Nothobranchius furzeri: one gene and its partner. The protein of the gene in region 1 interacts with the protein of each later gene in a biochemical or structural test. Links are inferred from orthologs where the notes say so. Each region holds a gene or a part of one and is shown in the gene's direction. Other genes may lie near its edges.

What was found.
Region 2: the proteins of kelch-like protein 12 (region 1) and pdcd6 form a complex in vitro, tested with the Homo sapiens proteins (2 studies listed by BioGRID). The link is inferred for Nothobranchius furzeri from reciprocal best matches to the Homo sapiens genes KLHL12 and PDCD6.

What each region holds. Positions count from the first base shown.
Region 1 is NC_091755.1:52,045,244-52,050,295, reverse strand, and holds the start of kelch-like protein 12, read left to right. Parts: upstream 1-1,693; 5' UTR 1,694-1,769; exon of another isoform or gene 1,770-1,839; 5' UTR 1,840-1,921; coding exon 1,922-1,979; intron 1,980-2,445; coding exon 2,446-2,672; intron 2,673-5,052. UniProt on the Homo sapiens protein: Substrate-specific adapter of a BCR (BTB-CUL3-RBX1) E3 ubiquitin ligase complex that acts as a negative regulator of Wnt signaling pathway and ER-Golgi transport.
Region 2 is NC_091747.1:42,166,734-42,171,518, forward strand, and holds the start of pdcd6 (programmed cell death protein 6), read left to right. Parts: upstream 1-1,603; 5' UTR 1,604-1,784; coding exon 1,785-1,867; intron 1,868-4,785. UniProt on the Homo sapiens protein: Calcium sensor that plays a key role in processes such as endoplasmic reticulum (ER)-Golgi vesicular transport, endosomal biogenesis or membrane repair.

The sequences.
Region 1 (5,052 bases):
CTACTCTTAACGGAAACACGCCGCTAGCTCCTCCTACACGGTGTAGCTGTCGTCCTTGGGTGGCTAAAAAGAGCACAATGTGTTTTGTTTTGTTTTAATTTGCTGCTGTGAGATATCTGTGTAGGATTCACAGCACTTCTTCAAGTCTGGAAAGTAAGTCTGTTGACACAGAATCGTCATCTCACCATTTCTGAAACAGCAGCGACCAACAGGCGAGGACGCGCGGGAGGCATCATATTTCTGGGAAAAAAACGCGTCTCGCTCTTTGGGGAGCGCGCACGCACACTCACGCACTGTGTACGTCATCGCCCCGGCTGCCGGTGAATTTGGCAAGCTGTTTTAACATTTAATATAATTACATTTAAAAAGTAATTTGAACGTCAGTGTAAATATTTCTGTCAAAATGACAATCTGAATTATAAAATCAAAACCAATGATAACCAAAACTGTCACAATATTAAAATTGTGTCTCAAGTTTTCCATAACTGAGACTTTGTCAGGGAAAACAAACTTTTGAAGCAAATTATGTCAGCTTTCCATTAATTTATATTAGGTTATCCCCTTCAGATGTGGCAAACATATCTGTCCATGTCTTTGTCTAGTTCATATTTCCACTGCACAAGTGAGTTGACATTTGAGTTCATCTTTTTAAATGGCACTTTGGTCACAAATAGCATTTTACTTCTACACTGTGCATAGAAATGAGTAACATGTCATAACATTTGACATTGTTTTATTAAATTGTTCTGCATTTCTACTGCATTACTGTTCTTTTTAACACAGCAAGTGTTATTTTACCTTGTTTTTGCATCAGGTAACAACATCGAGTAACAACATCAGGTAATAACATCAAGTAACAACATCAAGTAACTACACCATATAACAACATCCGGTAACAACATCGGGTAACAACATCAGGTAACAACATTAAGTAACAACATCAAATAATAACATCATGTAACAACATCTGGTAACAACATAATGTAACATCATCATGTAACAACATCTGGTAACAACATCAGGTAACATCATCATGTAACAATATCAAGTAACAACATCAGGTAACAACATAATGTAACATCATCATGTAACAACATCAAGTAACAACATCAGGTAACAACATAATGTAACATCATCAGGTAACAACATCAAATAACATCACGTAACATCATGTAACATCATCAGGTACCAGCATCAGGTAACATCAGGTGACATTAAGTAACAACATTATACAACATCTTGTAACAACATCAGGTAACAACATTATGTACTATCATCATGCAATAACATCAGGTACCAACATCAAGTAACATCATGTAACAAAATCAAGTAACAACATCATGTCTGAACATCAGGTAACAACGTCATGTAACAACATATAGTCATGTAACAACATATACTACAACAGCAACAACAACCACAGACTAAAGGCTATTCATTTTACTACGAACAAGTGAATTCTGGATTTTTGTTTGAAAGTTCGTGTCCAACTATTATATGATACATCTGCTTGCCAACTATGTTGTTGGTGGCGCTACTGTGACCCACTGCAGTTTAGTCAACGTTAAATTGTTGGTGTTCAAAGATCGTTCTGGGACATAATATGAGATAATTTTGATATTTTGAACAGACCCGTCCCCGCGGAGGCCGTGTGTTGGTGTGACCTGACGGAGGTCATGATGGATTAGGGCGGTTTGAACTGAGACTTTGGTGCTGCTACAGTTAGTTAGCAAAACAACTTAGCTAGACGTTTTGACTCTGCCCTGCAGGTATAATGCAAATTCTTGCCAAGTTCTTGTGTGTGTGTCGCTTCTTGTTTTGTCTCCCTCTGGCCTACAGGCCGCTTTTGTAGCTGCTGTTTTCTGAAGTTGTGTGGCGTTGGCGTTAGCCGTCAGCTGTTGTTCAGTGCTGCTTTTAGCTCATGTGTAGCTATAGTTATTGCCTCCCAGTGGTGGAAAAAGTGTTAGGATCTTTTCACGGTAAGTTTCATCACCACGATCAAATAAAAATCCTGGTTCTAACTAAATGTACTTGTAGTTTCAAACATGGGTTTTTGTTTGACAAATACGTTTGTTTTATTCTTTTTTTTTTTGTCTGGTTTTAATCAACATATCAGCTTTTAAATACCTAAGGATGGATAATACCTGTTTGTGGACTCTTCCACTGACAGATGTGACATTATTTGATGTCTTTCCTTGTTTTTTTCTTCCAAAACAAAACAACAAACCAATACACACACATCTAATGATTTCTACAGATTCATCAAAAATGTTTTTTCAGTAGTCATGATGGTTCCTGAATAATCTTTAACTAATGAGCCAATGCTAAAGTTTTTATTATTATTATTAATCCAATAATCCGGTGCTTCCTGTCTCTGTTCCTGTTCCCAGATGGCATTGTGGTCTGCAAGAATTCCGTTTATTTGTCTTGATGTATTTATTTTAGGTTCCTGTGGGAGTTTGAGATCTATGACGGATCCTCCAAACAGCATGGCTCCCAAAGACATCATGACAAATTCCCATGCTAAATCCATCCTCAATGCAATGAATTCACTCCGCAAGAGTAACACACTCTGCGACATCACTCTGAGGGTGGACAACGCGGATTTTCCTGCTCACCGGATCGTCTTGGCTGCTTGCAGCGACTACTTTTGTGCCATGTTCACCAGTGAGGTAGAACTTTCTTTTCAGGACTAAAATGTACAAAACAGTTTTTTTTTTAAATATTCACAATTTGGGGGCATTTCCCCTGTTTGGGTTAACTATTACTTGTAACTTAAATGGATGTGTGTGGATTTTATACTGGATGTACAACAAATTTTTCAAATCATTTGATGGGAAATAAAAAGAAAACCTAAATTTATTTTAGGAAGAGGTTCTGTTAAGTACAGTTGTATTGTAGGAACACATGAGTTCATCCCAACATTTGAGACTTTATTTAATATTTACATAATATTAGTTTTACTTCCAACATGCTTCATAAGTAAGAGATGCTGCAGAACAGCACCCTCAGCATCCATGTGTTATTCTGACATGAGATCTTTCAAATCCAACAGATCTTTTTACTTAGTGAGTAAATAACAGAAGTCTACATTTTACCGTTGTGTGTGAGCCAAACAAAACAAAACTTCGGACGTTTGGAAGCCGCACAATGACAGGCCTACAAATATGGTTTCATTTGCAGGTCTTTTAATAATGGTTTATTTTGTTATTTAATGCTTTCACTGGGGATAAAGCTTGTTTTGTTGCTATAACAGGCTGAAATATGTAGACATTTTGACCTGGAACAGCTTGCTCCAATGTGTTAAGACAGTTATTTCTAACTCACAACCAGAGAGGGCTACTTCATCAGAAATCAGGTCAGTCTTGCTTGCAACTGATTCAAAAGTAAACAGCACATCAATAAGTTTTAATCATCCAAGAGTCACAGCAATGCTACTAAATGAAGAAAACGGGCGTAACACAGGAATTTCTCCCATTTTCATCGTATTCATCTTATCTGGAGAAAACAAAGCTTACGTTCTTTAGATAATAAGTTGTTGTCATCATTAGAAAATGAGCACAGCACTTTTTCAGATAACTGAACAGTCGACTCTTGATCTGAAGGAAATCCCATCAGACCTAAAAATAGCTGCTATCTGCTTCCATGCTAAGTGTTTAACTTTTCATGAAGCTGCATTTGCAACCATTGCATCTAACTGAATGAAAACACTGTTTGCTGCTCCATTTATAAACGTTTTTACCAGCTGATGTTAATAGATTCTGTTTTACTTGGATCCATCTCTTAGTTAACAAGATACTTTAATTATTCTGCTCCAACCTGGAGGGAGTGTTTCACCTTTATACGGTTGAGAACAATGACATCGGTCTTAGAGGAGCTGATTCTCATCCCAGCCCTCGGCCCCCAGCTGTGAAGCATGCTAGTGCACGCTAAAGATCATAGCCTGAAGATGCTAACAGAACCACATCATCTGCTGTCACCTAAAGCAGAGATGAGACCCAAACCACTCGACTGCGATGTGAGCTTCCGTTCATGAAGATTGCTGACAGGATCAGACACCAGTCCTGGTGGAGTCTAGCTACTCAGGCAGCGAGTCTTTATCATGCTGCATCATCAGAGATCCTGCTGCAGGGTGTCATTCAGGACGTGCCTTTTATTGGCAGGTTTGATAACTTGTTTTCAGAGCTGTCAGCTTGTGGGTGGATTGTTCAGACTAACACTGGACCTAAAAATCCCTCCTAGACACATTTGAACATACTAACTGTTGCAGGATGGATCTCTCCTCAGAGACAGTGTTTGTTTAACGGAAACCCTTTTGCCCCTCTAAATGCCGATATAATTACAGGGCATAAATATCCTTGTAAGGGAACAAAATCAGAAAAATGCATCTGGAGTTTTTTTTCTCTCTTTTCTACCTTAGAGCAGGGACTCCCTAAGTGTGGTGCGCGAGCTGCCGCTAGGGGGTGCGCGAGGTGAAAAGTGTAATGGCTGCGGAGCTCAGAGAAGTCTGTCATATGTCACCATTAGCGTAGCCAGAAACTCCTTTGTGGGTGGGCCCAATAAATGTAATTGGAAAACAAGTATATTTTGCTTGTGTGTGTGTGTGTGTCCTCCGCATGTGCCCTAGCTTCATAATAATGCGCCGAGTTTCAGCGCTCTGGCTTGCGCACGCTGTCAACAGCAGGATATGTTCAGTATTTGATCATTTTTAACGGTGTTGGAGGAATCTGAAGGTGGTGAGTCATTCTGGCAGATTGTAATTAACACCTGTCTCATGCAGGTGTTCTGAAGTTGTAAACCTCACACACACACAGAACATTGTAGATGTAACAGAATAAATCAAGAAATGATTCCCATCTGAGCATTTTAGCATTATTATATTATTATATTAGCACACTGACTGTGGGACAGCATTCTAAATGTGTCAGGCTGTTAACAGCACGCTGAAGGTCTGAAGTTCAGAGTGCGTCTGTCAGAGGTCAGACGCGTTCCAGCGGAACCACGGCTCACGGGTGCACATGTGAGCACATCTGGGCTGGGCAGAAGTAATTT
Region 2 (4,785 bases), on another chromosome or scaffold:
GGTGTTGATCGTATTTATATGTCGATGGTGTTGATCCAAAAATAATTGAAACACCAATAATAAACTCTTCTTCTAACTAATTAGTTTTATTCAGCTGTTGCATAACTTCATTGCTGGTACACACGGATGTTTTGTATTCTGAAATGAAATTAAACAACTCAAATGATGAGACTTTCATGTGATGGCGTGACCCAGATTCATAGCTGGGATAAAACAGAGATGCATTTAACTTTTTTAACAAGTATTTTTCTTGTAAAGATTTTCATCACATATATATCTTATAATAATAATTTCAGTGGGTGAAAACTGTCAAAACAAAATACTTTGGATTCCAACAGAATTGTAAATCATGTTGCTTTTTGTAAATGGACACACATGATTAAAATGTAAAGCAATAATAGGATATCTATCTATCTATCTATCTATCTATCTATCTATCTATCTATCTATCTATCTATCTATCTATCTATCTATCTATCTATCTATCATCTATCTATCTATCTATCTATCTATCTATCTATCTATCTATCTATCTATCTATCTATACACGCACACACACACACACACACACACACACACACACACACACACACACACACACACACACACACACATATATATATATATATATATATATATATATATATATATATATATATATATATATATATGTGTGTGTGTGTGTGTGTGTGTGTGTGTGTGTGTGTGTATGTATGTATGTATAAATAGTAGGGCTGGGCAATAAATCAAAAATTTATTGTAATCAAAATTTCTGACTCGTGATAATTTTTCCCATGTCAATAAATTTGATAATAAAAAAATGAAAAGATGTGTGTAGGTTGGCAGCGTTCATGTCCATGAAGCTGTATCACTGTCACGTAAAAATGTTCCTCAATGTAATACATGTGGCAGCCCCATCTATTGGACAACTTTTGTTTCTGCGCATATCTGTAGTTATCGTCCAATTATCGTTATTGAGGTGAAATCCTCAATATATTGTGATATTAATTTTAGGCCATATTGCCCAGCCCTAATATATTGGTATGTCAGCTCAAATTTTTCCATTCCAACAGACCAAATCGGCACTCTGAAGTTGCAAATGCGGTATGCGGCCACAGAGGGCAGTAGGGGTCTGAGAATGACATGATTGTAAAGGGTCATTTTAGCACATACTGGCTCAAGTAAATGAAAAATTTGCATGGTGTACCTTTACGTTTACTTAGAAAACGGACGTGTTTACATCTTCTTTTACTTTCAGATTTATTTGCCAGTAATAACTGGGGTCAGAAAAAACTTTTATTGGTCCATAGACTTCCATTCTTATTTATTTATTTTTTTCTTTTGCAATAAGGAATCCAGATGGGCGTGACTTAGGCTCCATATCAATTGGCTGCTGAGTAATGGCCATCATAATTCAGTTATATTCATAAATTGAACATCACAGACTACTACTGCTACCACTTTTTGTCAGTTCATGTTAGCCTCACGTATGATGCACTTCGAGTCTTTTACATTCTCCAAAATACAAATATTTGTTAACAAATTTGAAAAATTTAATGCATTATTTTTAACCAATTGAAATAAAAATTGGACCATGACGTAACGCATGGTGAATGACAAGCCACGCCCCCGTGCGCGCGGAGGAGGCAGGCATTTTTAAGGTCGGGTGGTGAAGTGTGAGTGAAGCAGCTGAGAGAAACTACAGCCGCAGCAGAAAAAGGACAGTCGGTGTACTTGTTTGTAGTTTTATTCCAGGACGGAGCACACCTTTTTATCTTTAAAACATGGCGTATCACAGTCCGTACAGAGCTCACCCGCAAGGCAACCCTCCTGTGGACCAGAGTTTCCTGTGGAATATCTTCCAGAGGTGAGTGCGGGGAAGGCGGGTTTGTTTCGCCCCGCAGTGAAAACTGCTGTCGTGAGAAGCGCGAAGAGGAAGAGGAAGAGGAAGGCAGCGGGGCTGGGTGGTGTTGCAACAAATATTCCTGACAGCTCAGCCTTTGTCTCTGACAGCTGAGTCTTTGTCTCTTATTCTCGTGTCCTTTTAACTGCTTTAGGCTCGGAACACAGGTCCGCAGTGCTGTTTGTGACACGAGAGAGGAAATACCAGCGTTTCCTCCAGCGTCTCTCAACCCCTCACCTTCCTAGTCTTTTGTGTTGCAACTGTAAAAGTGGCGCAAAGGCTTTAGATTGTGTTCTTCTGAATCAGCTGATCGCTTTTGAGCCACGGAAGTTCTAAAATCTAAATACAAGGACCTCCACTAGTCCTTGAAGGCGTCACGTTTTCACAGAATTCACTTTACCCAGACTTCTGAACTTATTTATGCCTAACACCAGACAAAAATCTCATCATAAATGAAAGGATCTAAACTGAGAGTGTTTCACTAACAGGCTTCAGGTATGTGTCACGGGCTGTGACAGTCAGTGAGGGACATGTTGATTTGGCCCCTGCACATTAAGCCCAATATAGTTATGCAATACTGCAGAGGATCCATTTCTATCACCACCGAGATGCTGCAGGCGTTCAGATGCTTCAACCATTATTAACAAATTATTTATGTGAAGCAACAACCTCAGATGTACAGATGTGTGCCGGCTGTTGCCCTCTGTTTCATCCCCACACGCTTGTCATTTTGTTTCGCTGTCACAGGAACAGCCTTCCTCATCACCGTCTTCACACATAAAGTCATCTTCAGCGTAAATGTCAAACAAACACAAGCGATATGACAGTCCTGAGTGTAGGGAGAGTCTCTGACGCACACGCACACACACGCACACACACGCACACACACACACGCACACGCACACACACACACACAGCCTCATCTGTGTTTGTGTGTAAATCTGGCAGAGCTGTACTGGAATTCCCTTGGTCATGTGATCAGAGGCAGGTTTTTGACACACACACACACTTATCTATGACTCACAGTGGGATAGTTGTTAGAAATCTATTAAATTAAAGCTCTATAACCATATTTTTATCCTTTTTAAATTGAGTGTAATTGGACGACATAAAAGGGAAAGGCTCATTTTTAAAAGAATAATGGTTTTTATTCCTTCTAGTGTACCACTGGACTGCAGTCTATTGATTGGGATTGGTCCCATGAGGTAATGTGGGATGAATCATCTTTCCCTTTCACCTACTTTCCAAACAATGATGATGGTACAACAAAATGTTAAAATTGCCCAACAACACACACGTGTTGCTACAAGAAGCTAATCTGAGCTCAGCTCAGATCTACTTAAACTTAAGAAAAGTTGGAATAAGCCAGTCATCCTTCTGCAACGATGCTGCTTCTATTTTGGGAGTTTTTATGTGGAAAGCGGAGCGGGTGTTTCCCAGCCTCATATTCCATCCAGACTGTCTAATAGGAAAAAGCGAAACATGGGAAAATCTGACTCCGTCTCGGCTTATTATTTAAAAAAAAAAACAACAACTTTATCTCTGTTGTGATGCATTCTAGCTCTGTTTGAGGATGCAAATGCCAGATGGTGTCTCTTGAGCGTGCAAAAAGGAGTTCTAATGATGCTTTCACCATCCTTTTATTTATTTATTTTTTTTTTGCTTGTGCCTGAGGCAGAGTGTGTTCATGTAAAGAAGATGAGAGGTGGAAGAACAGGAAGTGTAGAGGATTGAGGTAAAGGATGTCCTGTTCACATGTGGAGTTTTACTTCTAGGACATGAATAAAATGTTGTATTCATTACATTTCACTTAGATTAGTTGGATTTTGAGTCCTTCTGTTGTAGATCTGCTGCTGCTGCATTTGGATTATTGTTCTGTTTTATGACCCAGTTTGGTCCAAACCTCAGCTGTCCTACAGATGGACTCATGCTAGGCTCTTTGGTCTACAGAGGGGTTCATGGTGGACTCAGCCTCAGCCTTTCACCACCGTGCTGGTATGAGCTGTCAGGTTTCCGCCAAACCCAGCTGTGCATTATGGGTAAACCTCTCTACTTTGGTCCGTAGGTCTCATAGTGTCAACATGTTTGGTGGTGTCTGCTGGTCATTTCCTACTGAGTTAAAACCATGAGCTAACCACAATTCCCGCCCAGCGACTCTACTGGTCCTTTTTGTGTACTTACGCCAGTTCAGGTACTCGTATGATCCCTGAAATGGTCAGAAAATGGTTCTTTAGGGCTGGCCAGGTGAAATGGACACTTATGCAGCGAAGGTCCAGTTAAATTAGCCAGAAGCCCTGAAGGTGGAATGAGCCCGATGCTTTTAGAGCAAAGAAATTTTCTACCTGTTGACCTTCTAAACATGGAGTGCTTGTTTCTTTTTTTGTCATTCTCACAGATTTGACCTTGAAAACACTGATTGCATCTATAGGGTCAGTTCAGACTGATGTCTCTCCTCTGTTGCATAGCGTTAACACACACTTGTATGCCCCAGACGAACAAACTGCTCTGACTCATGCTTTAACTGATCCTCAGTGTGTATTAATCAATACATTAGATCAACAGCACCTGGCTGATACGCTTATTGTTTAGGCTGCAGGAGTGTTTTTCTCACCCAGAAATTTCTTTTTGGCTTTATTTTTGTTAAAAAGATGACGACATGGTGACACATCATGTGACTTTTGCACATCTGAGGTCAGATTTGAATAATTTCAAAACCTGGATGGGATCATGTTGAAAGATCAAAAGTTAAAAAAAGGGCACTTTCCTCTACTATGACACACACACACACACACACACACACACACACACACACACACACACACACACACACACACACACACACACACACACACACACACACACACACACACACACACACACAC